2 linked regions of the Tamandua tetradactyla genome follow. The protein of the gene in region 1 binds, or shares a complex with, the protein of each later gene. Links are inferred from orthologs where the notes say so. Each region holds a gene or a part of one and is shown in the gene's direction. Other genes may lie near its edges.

Region 1 (7,504 bases):
CTCGTTACCAATATTAAGAGAGCTTCCCCTAGATACAATGACAACTAAAACTGCAGGCTCACATGGTTGTAAATCAACAATCTGGCATGGGTTCAGCTTAGTGGTTCTTTTGCTGAACTTGCCTGGGGTCACTCACATGGCTACAGTTATTTTGTGGCTTGACTATGTAACTGAGAAATTAGGATTTAAGGGATGATTATGATTACCGAATCTATTCCTTTTTGCTTTCTGGGATATTGGAGTAGACAGGGGAATATCTAAATCACTAAAGTATAAGTCAGTTGCCCTATCTGAAATGATTGCAAAAAGCCCTTATCTTGTACCTTTGTGACTAAGAATTGTTACTTCTTTTTTTCTGGTCATTTTCTTGTAGGGCAAAGACCCTAATGCTAATGGATAATTTGTAGTCAGCCATTAACTAGCTTCAGTCCTAGATATTTGTAAATCATATTCCCTAGATTCAACTATTAAAGATAACTTGTATCCCTTTCTTTTGGCTTACACTTTTATACTTTTAGTATTGAAGTGATAGTTCTGCCTTCTCTCCTTTCAACTTCTGTTCTCCTATTGAAATAACATTGTGTCCTTTTCTGCTTTAAACTTGTTATCCAAAGTGACTGCATCTCCCCTCACTAAACTCCTTAAAAATCCTGAACCCTCTAAACTCAGGGAAACAGATCTTAGGCCTCTAGGCCATCTGCTCACCTACTACATGCCTAGAAATAAATTCTGTCTTTGAAACCCCAGTGTCTCAGGAATTGGTTACTGATTGCGTCTGGCAAACGAATCCACCACTTTTGTCTGATAACAACTATGGCTAACAATTTAAAGAGTAGAAGTCTCAGCCTGGAAGGCTAGTCTCTGCTACTCATGGCCCCATCATCTAGGAATTAGCCTGGGATTCTTTAAATGGTGATCTCAGGAAAACAACAGGGCAAGTTTCAATGCAGGAACTTTCAGGCCTCTGCTTCCTTAATGCATTGTTATTCTCAACCAAGCAATTTAAATCCAGAATCAATGTGGGGGAGGTTATAAAACTGCCAATGACAGAATTTTAAAAAATCTCCAAGGCAGCTTAATATGAGAAAAGGAGTGCTAATTCTAGTTCATGTTCAGGAGCTCAGATGTAGAATCATCTTAGTCTCTGTCCGAAAGAACAATCTGCAAAGGTAGAGTTTGGAAGGCTAAGGGGAGGGGGGTTAGTTACACTAAGTATAGAGGGAAGCATGATTCCCTGGGGGGTCACACTGTAAAAATGTAATACATCACTGTCAATTGTTTGTTTTGTGAATTTAGAGGTTTTTTTTTCTATGTTCACAAGCATACCCATACATATGCAAATAGTGTGATTGGAGAGTCGCTTGGTTTATCTGCTTACATTACAAAAATGAGATGTCACTATATATTTTATTACAGCTATGATTGGCTTTTCCGTGTCATTGGCCAGTATACAAACATTATAAATCCAAATACCTTCACCTGGCAACAAAACGCTTCAACTGAAAACACAGTAATTATATTTAAAAATACAAATCTAAAATGTTTCTCATTATGCAAGTTTCCTATGTTTTACTTAATAGTTTTGTTCTAAGTTCTCGTTTTTTTTTTTTAAATACCTTATTAGTTTTGTTCTATCTTTTAAGTTCTCGTTTTTAGAAATATGTATTATCAGGAGGTTGGATATTTCAGAACAATATTCTATATCACTGATGTCTCATTTTAAAAATTTTCCTTTTTCTTCTAATGTATTCTGAGAAAATATAACAGGATTATTCCTTTTCATGATATTTATATCTTTTAAAAATTTTATTGGTAGTACATTTCTTCTCAAGCTTTCTAGTATTTCTTAGCATAAAGCTACTTCAGCAGAAGGCAGCTCTATCAGTTGTTTTTTTTTCACCTGAGCTGTAGAGTAATTTCAGACTGCAACTAAAGACAACTTATAACCTACATCATAGATACAAACACATCTTATAATACAATTCTGGCAACAAAATTGTACTGAGTGCTCACTCTTTCCAATGATCCAACAGTTCAATTGTGTAAAAAATAAACCTGCAATAATGAATCTGGAAATATTTAGCCTATGAAGGGAAGTCCTCCCAGTTCAATGGTTCCATGGTGACTGTACCATCTTCTTTAACAACAACGTTCTATGTTCTACTTCTAAAGTTTGTAAGTTTGTTTGGCCTGCTATGACGTCTACTATCCTTTCCAGTCTTCTCATGTTGAAGGAAGACAAGTGTCTGCTTGCTGTACACACCTCTCTCCAAGAGAATGAGGCAAAAACAAAGTATTAACCATACATAGTGAATATATTTCCTGCTTTATTTTAGACACTGAAAAAGTAAGCTACCACTTATTTACATGATAAGGCAGCAAAAAGAGAACAGTAGTAACATCTAAGAAATACTGGCTGACTGCTTCAGAGAACAGAGGTAGCAATGACAAAAGACAAATCCATCTCGCAAAGAGATTTTGGTCAGATAAAACTGTTCATAAAGCCCTAGAGAAAAAAGAAGGCAGGTCTAGGCAAGTGTTTCTGAAAGAAGGTCACATTAATCCCTGCTCTTTGTGGAAACTGAATAATGCACAAAATGTGATGAAAAGTAATGGACAGTATTAGCGATTTTCCTCAGAATTACATAGTGAGATACAAAGTATCTCCAGTGTCTATTACAGTGTTCAAGCTCAAAAATAGAACAGGTTAAAGAATGAAATTTTATGCACGAGTTTGCTTTTAGTCAGGATTATTATTGAGATCTGGGTTATATTAGCTTCACCAATTATTAGGAAATCACTTAATTTCTCTGAATTTGTTTTAACTTCTGAAAAATGAGAATAAAACTTACCATAGGCCAGGCACCTTCACGTGCTGGTAATATAAATATGAATAAGAAGGTAAGGAAGGTAAGGACAAAAAAGACCAATACAGTAAAACAAAATCAGTAAAATAAATATCAAGTAATAGCTAGTTACAATGAAAGTTATGTAGAAAACAGGGTATTATGATAAAAAAGATTCTTCTTACAAAAATAAATATGCAGTAATAAGCAAAGTAAATACTAAATTTCATCCCTTCCTTTCCCTGTAAATTGTGAATTAAAAACATTGAATGTGAAGAATATTTGAAGTCCAGACGAAATAAAGTCTCAATTAGAATATGATATATTTAACATAGATAGAAAAGTTGATTCACTCAGCCCTTTACAAATACTGGTGCCCAGAGAAGTTAGAGTAGGTGTTAAGACCTTGTCCTCCAGAAAGAAAGAACCATGTTCAATTATCCTACTTAGATTTGATCAGAGTACTTAAACTCTCTAAGATGCAGTTTCTTAACTTAGCTGGAAAATGAGTACAGTATTAAGAACCCATCCCACTGGATTTTTATGAAGATTAAATGAAATAATGCACAGTATTTGGCATATAATCTTTCAGTAAAGGACTAAATTATAGTATCTACAAACCCAACACATGTCTCTAAAATTTATTTCACAAAGTTAACGTTTTTATTTTCACCTGGGCTACTTTTAATACTCAAACGAGTGGTTTGAAAAGAAATCTTTTATTTTCAAAAGGAAAATTTACTATCGTATTAATAATGAAAGAAAAGCTAAGGAAAAAAAAATGGTAACGATGAGACGCACTGGCACACACAGCTGGGAAGTCATTTTACATTTCAAGTCTACAGCTTCTTAAATTACCTAGTGCTGTATCAAGCACTAATCCCTCATACTCCAGAATCGCGGGGAGCAGAAGGATGCTCAAAACTCGCACGAATAAGTGCGGTAAATAACTGAAGAGGCCCTCCCATAGAAGGTACCCTCGGCAATCAAACAAGTGGTTTGACAAACCTAGCGGCCCTTCTCTCTCTCCAACACCCACCTCCCACCCCCAGCAGGGACCTCTTCTTTCCACTCTACCCTAGCACTTATCGAATCCTTAAATCCGCGAGAGCAATGGTAAAGCGGACAAGATCGGAGGACCACCACATCTTTTCAATTCTTCACTGGTCCCCAAACCACGCTCTGGGCTGCGCGGGCCCCACTTCACAATATGGAGATAGATTCTGATACCAAAGAAGGACAAAACTTTTTTCCTCGCAGAGGGCACCACCCTGGCGCCTCTTGCAAACGCCTGAGGAGAAGGTGGCGCTTACTAGCTCTTCAAAACAGGGCCAGGCCCTTCGGTCGCAGTGCGTGGAGCTTCCCCTCAATTCCTTTCCCTCCGCTGACCGACAGCCGAACCTCACCTGGTAGAGGTACCACAGCGATAGCCGCTTAGGGAAAGCGCAGGAAGAAGGGCCCAGCGAGTGAGGCCACTGAAGCCATAGTCATGGCCTAACTCGCTCAGGCCACCAGTGTGGACGCGTCTCAGCCCCCGTACCTCCCGCGTCTAAGTATTATCCAGGTTGCCCGGGTTCGGGCGCAGCTTCCCGCACTGCACGCTGGGAACACCCACCCTCCCTTTCCCAGCGGCTTCAGCTCCCAGCATGCACAGGACTCGGCGCAGAACTGCGCTCTGGGATTTAGAGGCCTAATTGCATGCCTTCTCCTCTTCTTTAGCACGTATAGGCGGGGAATCTAAACGTAAAGCATTAATCCACAGTCGTGAAATGTAGGCTCTGCTTGCATCCGGGGCCTTGCTCCGGAGTCTGCGGGGTGGGGAAAGGCGTCGCTTAGCAGCCACCGCCGCTACTCTGCATGGTTCCAGTTGGCCGGACCTAGACGTCGAGTGGAACGGCGCTGGGGGTGTGGTCAGAGCTCGGCGGCTGGCTTAGGCGTGGTGGGTGCGGTAGATGAGGGTTCTTCGCTGGCTACCTGTTTTGATCTAGGTGGGTTGCTCTTCCTGAGAGCTGTCGGAGTGTTGTGAAACGCGGGTTCTTTAGCCTCACAGGGCCTGTATTTAACAGCGCCGCTTCTCCGCCGCTTTTAGTCTCTCTGCAATCTTGCCTTCCGCGCTCCAGCCCTGGTTTCCCAGGCCAACTTCACTCAGTCCAAATGTTTATTTCCGCACTTTTTTTTTTTTACCCGTAGTTGCTGCTTATCCGAGTCAGTCATTTTAAGCCTTTCAAGTGTCCCCGCTCTTGGCACCATTAAATGTGCGCGCGTGTTGAGGACAGGGTTTGTCGGGAAGGGGATCCAGAATCTCAGGCCTAACCTGGATTCTTTTAGCAAGGAAGCCGTCGAATTTTATTTATTCGGTACTGTTTTTTTTTCTGACAGTTTGGGCCGACTGCTACAGTTCTTGGTTAGGCTATTTTGCCCATTTACTTCTTTTGCAATTAAGGAGCCATAACTAACACCGCAGAGAGTTATGAGTCAAGACTGTTTACCTTGGAAATGCTAATATACACTTGTTTTATTATAGAAGGTAAAGCACAGTGAAAGAATTCAAGATGCCACCTAATATAAACTGGAAAGAAATTATGAAAATTGACCCAGATGACCTGCCTCGTCAAGAAGAATTGGCAGATAATTTATTGATTTCACTATCCAAGGTGCTTAATATATACATAGAACCATGATTAAATCTTTGCTCCTGAAATCATTTTGTAGTAGAACTGGAAGCGTTCTTATAGTTTGGTTAAATAGTTGCTTTTTGTTTACATAGGTGGAAGTAAATGAACTAAAAAATGAAAATCAAGAAAATGTGATACATCTTTTCAGAGTTACTCAGTCACTAATGAAGGTTTGTATGCAGTAGATTTTATTATTAAACTATTAGAAAGCATTTAAGAATCTCTTCTTATCTGAAATAAGTAATCTCTGCCTAAGTACTTTGTAAAATCTGAATCAACACTCAAAAAGTGAGATATATTAAAATGTGGTGGGAATGTCAAAGGGTGCAACCACTGTGGAAGGCAGTTTGGCGGTTCCTCAAAAAGCTGAATATAGAATTGCCATACGACCCAGCAATACCATTGCTAGGTATCTACTCAAAGGACTTAAGGGCAAAGACACAAACGGGCATTTGCACACCAGTGTTTATAGCAGCGTTATTTACAATTGCAGAGAGATGGAAACAGCCAAAATCTCCATCAACAGAAGAGTGGCTAAACAAACTGTGGTATATACATACGATGGAATATTATGCAGCTTTAAGACAAGATAAACTTATGAACCATGTAATAACATGGATGGACCTAGAGAATATTATGCTGAGTGAATCCAGCCAAAAACTAAAGGACAAATACTGTATGGTCCCACTGATATGAACGGACATTCGAGAATAAACTTGAAATATGTCCTTGGTAACAGAGTTCAGCAGGAGTTAGAAACAGGGTAAGACAATGGGTAATTGAAGCTGAAGGGATACAGACTGTGCAACAGGACTAGATACAAAAACTCAAAAATGGACAGCACAATAATACCTAATTGTAAAGTAATCATGTTAAAATACTGAATGAAGCTGCATCTGAGCTATAGGGATTTTTTTGTTTTTGTTTGCTTGTTGGTTTGTTTGTTGTTGTTGTTTTTTACTATTACTACTACTTTTATTTCTTTTCTTTATATTAACATTTTATATCTTTTTCTGTTGTGTTGCTAGTTCCTCTAAACCGATGCAAATGTACTAAGAAACAATGATCATGCATCTATGTGATGATGTTAAGAATTACTGAGTGCATATGTAGAATGGTATGATTTCTAAATGTTGCGTTAATTTCTTTTTTTTTTTTTCTTTCCGTTAATAAAAAAATAAAAATAAAAAATAAAAAAAATAAAAAAAAATAAAAAATGTGGCTGAAGAGAGCCCTTAGTGTGCAAAGCATTGCTAGTTCCTGCTCTAAAGTTCCTAGAAGAATGTGTAGGGGAAGCAGAATGGGTTTATTTAGAAATAAATAATACGTTTTGGTATATACGGAGGTCCTAATGAATAATGCAGGCAATAACTGCTATAGTTGTAGATAAAAGGAGGAGAGATCTAAGAGGTTTGAGAAAACTTTGAAGACTTCATGCAGGATCAGGTCTGACAATAGTTTTAGATAAGTGAATGGGGAATGGTAAAATGGTAAAGAGATTCTAGAGCTGAGAAATTACCGTAATTAAAGACAAGAAATAGGAGTGTGCTTATTCTTTGCATTTAAGGAAACAGCTGCAGAAAGTGTGTAGAGAATATAGCACATTGGTGAATGGTTTGGGATAGGCTATCTTAAGACCTTATTTTATGCTAACAACAACAAGGAGCCATTAAGAGTTTTGAGTTACCATCAACAGATGTAAAAATATGCCTTAGACATGAGATCTTACTGGTTTGTATAGGGGTTATGCAATGCCCTGATATATCCCAGAATAATTTGGGCAGAGAATAAAAAAGTATTTGCAGAGTCCCCTTGAGGGACTGGAGAGAAAGGAAGAAATAATAAACTTCCCCATCTGGGGAATTCCTGATATTCTTGCAAGCAGTGGGGACAACAAATTCAGTAGGCTGAGCCCTTGATCTTGGGGTTTGCCTCTATGAAACTTTTGCCTGCAAAGGAGAAGCTAAGCCTACTTACAATTAT
Region 2 (7,526 bases), on another chromosome or scaffold:
TCAGGCCCTTTCCAAAGAAAGGAGGCCAGGTTCAAGCTATTGTCTACAGTCAAAACCAAGTCATCCTTTTCCATTAAGATTGCCTTGTACTTCAGGATTCAGGAATCAGTCAGCCACCTCCCTGCCTTTTGGGATAAAACAGTCCTGACCTGATGAGGAGTGCTGACCACTAATGCCCCTCCAAAGGTTTGTTTCCTACTTTCTTCTACTAGGAGAGTGGGTGCTGCAGCAGCCTGAATGCACCTGGGCCATCTTCCGGAGACAGGTCCAAAAGTTTAGAAAGGAAGGTTTCGGGTCTCCTTTGGCCTCCCCAGGGTTGGGTTAGTAGCCCTAATGCTGTTCCTTTATCTACTGTAGCAAATAGATGGAGAGGTTTCTCGAGGGAGGGGAGAGTTAGGACAGGAGCCTTCATCAGTGCCCGTCTGAGCCCTTCTGCAGCTCCTACTCCCCCCTCCCTCCACTCTAATTTGTCAGGCTCTTCCTCTAACAGTTTTTGGTATAACCCTTTAGTTGGAGAGGCTGAAGAATCTACCTACAACCTACAGTACACCACTAATCCTAAGAACTTCCTTAGTTCCCTCTTTGTCCAGGGAAGAGGCGATCTAATTATGGCCTGAATTCTCTCTGGATTTACTTTCCTTTTTTCCCTTCACTTACGAGATGGCCTAAGTATTTAACTTCCCTTTTCACAACCTGTAGTTTTATTTTTTGATACCCTTAGTTCTTGGCCCCCCAGGAAGCTCAACAGGTCCCCTGCAGCCTGGGCAATGCCCTAGCTTTTCTTTACCCGATATTAACAGATCATTTACATACTGTAAAAGGGTAATTTCAGATGGGATAGAAAACCTTCCCAACACTTTTTCTAGTTCCTTCCCAAAGAGATTGGGGGACTCTGTGAAGCCCTGGGGTAGGACCATCCACCTATATTGCTGCCTCCTTCTAGTGAAGGGATTTTCCCATTCAAAGGCGAACAAGTCCCTACTCTCTGGGGTAAGAGGGCAGACCCAAAAGGCACCCTTCGGATCTACTACACTGAACCACTTATGATGGTAGGGAATCCATCATAGGAGCATATAAGGGTTAGGGACCACGGGGTGTCTAACCTGAACAATTTGATTGATGGCTCTCAGGTCCTGAACCACCCTCCAGCTACCAGCTGCTTTCTGGGTGGGAAGAACGGGATTACTGAAAGGGGACATTCAGTTTCCCAGAGCCCATCTCGAAGGAGACCTTCGATGACTGGATGATGTCCTTGTCTCCCCTTCAATGGGATGGGAGACTCTTTTTGACAAACCACCTCCCCTTCCTTTTACATTTTAATTTTTATAGAGGAAACGTGCAACTCCCCCACTTCCCTCCCTCACCCATACTTTTTCTTGGATGCCTTTCTTATCTTTCTCGGTAAGCAAGGCTTAAGACAACTTCTACTTGGCCATCCCTCACCTCCAGGTCCAGTCCCATGGGTATTATCAGATCTCTTCCCAATAAATTACTCCCAGCTTCTGAACAGGGAACTTATAATTTGGTTCCCTTCTCAACAGATATTAGTAGGTTTGAAAATGGGGACTTGAAACCTTTCGCCTTTTACTCCCCAAACCGTGACAGAGCTACCAGAGAATTCAATCCCCTTTGGGATGTGGTGCACGGAAGATGGAGCTGCCACAGTGTCTACCAAAAATGTAATTGCTTCTTGAATATAGACCCACCTTCAGATTTACCAAAGTCTCCTGGTGGGCTCTTGAGGCAAGGGGCCTCTGACCTCCCCAATCTTCAAAATTCATCAGGGGTCTCACCCCGACCTTCTTTCTTTAAACTCAACCACTCCCCTTTAACATGTTATCCCACAGTGATACACAGAACTGCTGTGTCCCGGGCCCTCCTCTCTCCTTTATTTCCTCTAGCTCCAACTCTCTATCTTGCCTGTGCCTGTCTCCTCCCTGCTTTATCTCTAATCTCTTCTTGACCATGTGGTCATCATGTGCTTATCATGACTTTAGCTTTCTGCTTATCTTTTGTCTTCCTATCTCACAAATACTTTCTGGGATTCTCCAGATTACTCTTCCAGTGGTTTATCCATCTATTTTCTAGATCTTTTTCTATCAGGCCAAGATCCCTTCACAGCTGACCTTTAATATTCCTCGGGCCACACGACTATTAGGGTCCATTCCTGAGTATTTCTTTGCCTGGTCTCTCAACCTTTGTAGGTAAGCAGAAGGAGTCTCATCATTTTCTTGGGCCACCTCAAAGGCCTTATTTAAGTTCTGAGATTTGGGTATTAACAACTATACCCCTTGTATAATGAGGTCTCTAAGATTTCTCATTTGTACCCTGTCTTCCTCATCATTATTATCCCAGTTGGAATCTACATTAGGGAACTGCTGCTCTGCTGCCATCATCCCTTGTCCAGGTGGGGGCTGCCTCTCTCATTTTTCCATAGATGCCCTCCTCACCTGTGCCCTTTCTTCCCCCATGAGGATGTAAATGCAGACCAGGTGTATAAGCTGGGCCCTAAAAATTGATCCAGTTGTTCACCTAGCCCTACTGGATCATCCAGTAACGATTTCATTTCTTTTCTTAAAGTTCCTCATTTCTGTACTGGTCAAGGGGACACTGACATAACCAGTTTCCCCTGGTCCAATAGGAACTTCTCTAAGAGGGAATATCGACTTATAAGGCCTATGCTACCTCACCCTTTTACCCTCAGGAGCCCTCGGAAATGGAAAATTCCATCTTTCTTACGTTGTTCCACCTCCTTCCTCAATGGTTGGTGGACTGTCACAGGTGGAACAGTTGGCCCTGATTGCCCCTCCCGCTCCCTGAGGCAGGTGGGGGTGGGGAATGCATGTTAGTCTTCTTGGGCCTTCAGGGTCCAACAGTCCCTGTCCTGGGGGAGGAGCACAGGGCAGGAAAGACTCAATAAAGGATCCCAGGCTTTAGCTTCTAAAGATTTAGCCTCTGACTCTGCTACCTTTACAGGATAAAGAGGACTCTCCCTTCCCTTTAGCCAACACTTGGCATAATCCGAGTCATCTTTCGAGAAAGGGTTCTTATTAGCATAAAGCACGAGGTTTGTACAAATCCAACCCTCATCTGCCCCGTATTTTGGCCAGAATATATCGGACAGCACAACGCTTTCTTTGGTCATAATATAACAACAATATTTAACCATTTCCTTTTTGTCCTTCCCCTTTGTTCCATAATTATCAGCCCAATATTTTAACATTCTCCCTAATGGACTGTCCAGGGGAATGTCCCCTGAACGTCTACCAGCACCCCCTCCCTTTCTTCTCCAGGTAAGCCGCCTGCCTCTATTCCCCATCCTGTGTCTTGCCAAGGTCCCTTTCTCTCATCCCTGTTTCACTTTCACCGTCTCCAGCCCCCTTTTCCTCACGGTGGTTTGGGACCCGGCACATGTTTGGGCGTCTCAGATACACACACACACACACACACACACACATACACACACACACACTCCACCTCAGACTCATCAGGATCCTTCCTGACCACCCAGGCAATACTTAACAGCCGATTTCTTACCTTGGTCCGTGCACAGAGTTGCTTGCTTACTGTGAGGCAGCCCCTCCTCTTTCTCGTTCACAGTCGGTGGCTCGAAGCATCCCGGCTGTCGGCAGCTGGCCCCCAGTGACAGAGTTTAAGACCGCTCAATCAGCGGGGTGCGCCTTCCCTTCCTCCTGGGGGTGGGTGGGTGCTCCTGCGAAGCCTGGGATCCCGGAAGGGCCCCCAAAGTTGTCAGAACGAACGCCGTACCTGAAGGAGAACAAACGCTCATCCGATTGCGGAGGAGAAGACAATTTATTCACCATCTTGCAAGAACGGGCGCCTAGAGGAACACACAAGGGGGGCTGGAGCCAAACCACAGAAGCTGAAAGTTATTCCTGTGCCGGACCCGCAGTCCCTCCCGTTTCTCGGCTGATCGGCTACCCCAGAGGTTACAGCCTATCCGGATAATCTAACTACTGTGAACTTCCCGCCGCAGGTTCCCCCTTTGTTTACGTTTTACCTTTTCAATGACCCTGGCCATTAAGGATTCGGCCTTGCGTCAGAAGCCCTCCCCTTTCCCTGCCTGCGTCACCTTTGTGAGAGCTAAGCTTAGTTTGATTCTCACAGGTTGGAGCAAATCAGAGCCTGCGAGGTGGAGGAGAGGAGTACAGGGCTGCATACTGCACCACCCACCCTCCAAACTGTCACAGCTCTTCTGGGCAGGCCTGCTTCTTACACATTACTCTCTCCAGGCTTCCAAGGCCCCCTTCCCTTTAAGCCCTGGAGAAATAACAATTACTGCCTCTTTTCACCCAGGGATCAACAGCAGCTCCCCACCCCCACCCCCGCCCCTACACACACACACACACACACACACACACACACACACCAGCCAGGACTCCAGTACTGTTCCTTGAAGATTAGCCACTCTCTTCAAATCGCTGTTTCGACTCTGCCATGTGTCCTCAAGGACCCTGACAACGGAGTCACAGTCAAGTCAGCCTGCGTCCGCTCAAAGCTCTTTCTCTTTCCACTCCCCTGCCCCAAATCGGAACCAGGCTTCAAAACCCAAGAAGCTCTCCTTCCGATTCCTTTCAGTGTCCCTGACTACCTGGTACGTAAACGTGCCGCACAAAAGACCAAGGCTAAACCCCAGCAGGCGTTTGCTGAGCAGCATGGGGCACCCCGACTCCGTCCCCGGGCGGTTGTTAGGAAAGAGAACCGCGGGGCTAGGATCTGTCTGCCAATTCTCTGGATCCATTGTCACAACTGGCCCCTCCTGCCCAAAGCGCAGCAACGCAGGGCGACAGCGTCGCGGGAGGCCAATGCTCGCCAGCCCCCACGAACTGCGCTCTCTGCCAGCAGCACCTGCAGCCACGGCTCCTCCCGGCGCACGCGCAGACGGCACCCAGGGCGGCTCCGCCCGGGGCAGCCATAGAGTACGGCGAGCGGGCAGAAAGGCCAATGCGGGCCGCTCCATCCTCCGCTTCCCGCGGCGCCTCGCTGCTCCCGGAGCGGAGACTGCCGCGTATGCAGTTTCCATGGGGACGGAAGATGGCGCCGCGAGGTGAGGTTCCGGAGGTGTGTGAGTCGCTGGCCCCCCGTCTCCCCCCACTCCGACCTCCCTTCTCTCCCAGAGCTCGACCTAAACACTCCGCTGTCAGGTGGTGAAGACATTGCTCCTCACATGTCCAAAGCGGGGTTTTGTAGCCTCACCCACCTTGAGAGCCCGAAGGTCTCGAGGTGCGGTCTCAGACACCCCCAAATCCTTGGCTGGCTTTGTTCCAGGCCGGCTCGGTTAGGAATGCGCCGCGTGACCTTGAACAGGCCAGTGTCGAATAGTGATGGGATGAGATCTTAGCGGCGCCTGTCGGCTGGGATACCCTCTGAGCTTCCTCTTGGCTTTCACCTCCGAACCCGAAAGACAGAGTTGGGTTTGGCGGTTGATTCCGAGGAGAAATGGGGAGGGAAGGAAGACCCCTCACAACCCAACAGCCTTTCCCCCCAGCAGCGACCTCGGGTTTTCCCAAGTTAGACACCGAACGGTGCAGGGAAAGGAGATTGAACTCCCCCCACACCCCCCCCCCCCCCCCCGCCCAACCCTTTTGTCTGTGTCCATCTTTTCAGGTAAACGGTTGTCCTCCACGCCCCTGGAAATCCTGTTTTTTCTGAACGGGTGGTATTATGCTACCTATTTCCTGCTGGAACTCTTCATATTTCTCTATAAAGGTAAGGCTTGGGGCTTGACTAACCGTGCTCCAATATCCCTTCCCCACTTCACCCCAGAGCCTATTTCCATTCTTTTCTGCCTCTTGTAGCTTCTCTTCACTGCAAGGCAGAAGTCTCTTCATTAGATAGTTTCCTGGAGAATAAGTAGGAAGACTCTCAGTAAGAATTTCTTGAGTTTAGGAAATGAATTAGTCTCCATTTTGACTCGCCCATCACTTTTCTTTGTTCAATTCAGTCTAAGGCCATTGGTGACCCTCAGAAACTATTTAGTGGCCTGTGTGCCTACGTTTGTCAGATCATGTGGATGTGTCCACAGGTTTTTGGAATTAAGAATAAAACCCCATAATAATGGGCCTCCCTCTAACAAACATAGTCACACTATGAGTTAACTTATCCCACAGCTGTAATAGCGTCTACATTCTCACTAACTAGTTTTTGGAAAGCTGATAAGACTCATCTCTTTCTTCCCAAGTGTGTGGGAGTCCTTGTGGGTGCTGTTATGTGTTGTTTGCAAACCATGTCTTTCTTATTGGCAGGTCTCCTATTGCCATATCCAACAGCCAACCTCATACTGGATGTGGTGATGCTTTTCCTTTATCTTGGAATTGAAGTCATTCGACTCTTTTTTGGTGAGTATTATTCAGAGAATATTTCCATTCTTTATGAGATAAGTTGGTATCTGTAACTTGATTAACAAGAAAAAGTACATAACCCAGGCTCACAATCAGATTCGATTTGTGGGATATGCCCTTACTGCTTCTGAAGTTTCAAGCTGCCTTATATTTTGGATCAAGATTTGCCTGTCTGTTGCTCTGTAAGGGCTAGTGGTGGGCAGCAGTATGGGAGCTTAGATAATTCCTTCCCAGCTGCCTAACTGCTCTAAGAGTTCCGGGTTCCTCTGAATGGTTTGCTTTGGGAGACTGGTTTTCACTGTAACTCTGAGTCCAGGCAGTAGATGCCTTCACAGATCAGCACTCAATAAGATCCCCTCTACTTCTCTGAATAAGGATCTCTTTAGGGTAAGTTTTTTTTTGTTTTTTTGTCTTTTTGTTCCTGACATTTTATTCAGCATACTGTCCTTAAGGGTCATCCACTTAGTTGTCCACCTCAGAACCATAGCTCCCCCTTCCATTCCTCAGTATTTTTACCCTTAGGCCACCTCCATCCATTGCGAATCGCCAACACTCCGCCATAAACACCAGTAAATGTCCATTTGTGTCCACACTCTCAGTTCCTCCTGTCAACGGGGTTGCAAGATCATATGGCAACCCCACCTCTTTAGGACACGTTTTTATATCCCCAGAAATACTGAGAAAGTCCCTTTTTAGTTAGAATATCCCATCTCTGAATACGATGCCAAATCACAGATTGAGAAAAAAATACTTGCAACACATAGGACAAACAAGATAAAAAAGGCTCATATAAATTATTAAGGAAAAGAATTTAATAATAAAAAGCAAACTAAAACAACAAAGTAACATTTTCACTCATAGATTGGTAAAGATTAAATTATGATACCCAGTATTAGAGAAGGTGTGGGGAACAGGTATTTTTATATACTCTAGGTGGATATGATATGTAAAATTCATATCCTTAGACCCAACAATTTCACTTTCAAAACTGATTAAAAAAATTTCCATAAATCTATGGAAATATTTTAATCTATACAGGAGTGTTTATTGCCTCATGCTCTGTAACATTAAGCGTTAGAAGCAGTATAAAGGCCCATCAATACAAGATTAGTTAAATTATGGTATTGGCTCAGTAGACTTGTATATAGCCATTAAAAAAGAATG

What was found. The genes of interacting proteins can lie anywhere in the genome.
Region 2: CEP290 (region 1) and TMEM216 share a complex: the UniProt entries of both Homo sapiens proteins name them as parts of the tectonic-like complex. The link is inferred for Tamandua tetradactyla from reciprocal best matches to the Homo sapiens genes CEP290 and TMEM216.

Annotation. Positions count from the first base shown.
Region 1 is NC_135333.1:157,258,672-157,266,175, reverse strand, and holds the start of CEP290 (centrosomal protein of 290 kDa), read left to right. Parts: upstream 1-4,478; 5' UTR 4,479-4,834; intron 4,835-5,370; exon of another isoform or gene 5,371-5,373; 5' UTR 5,374-5,398; coding exon 5,399-5,500; intron 5,501-5,613; coding exon 5,614-5,691; intron 5,692-7,504. UniProt on the Homo sapiens protein: Involved in early and late steps in cilia formation. Its association with CCP110 is required for inhibition of primary cilia formation by CCP110.
Region 2 is NC_135335.1:13,744,502-13,752,027, reverse strand, and holds the start of TMEM216 (transmembrane protein 216), read left to right. Parts: upstream 1-4,450; 5' UTR 4,451-4,965; coding exon 4,966-5,068; exon of another isoform or gene 5,069-5,082; intron 5,083-5,144; exon of another isoform or gene 5,145-5,507; intron 5,508-5,628; coding exon 5,629-5,730; intron 5,731-6,266; coding exon 6,267-6,359; intron 6,360-7,526. UniProt on the Homo sapiens protein: Part of the tectonic-like complex which is required for tissue-specific ciliogenesis and may regulate ciliary membrane composition.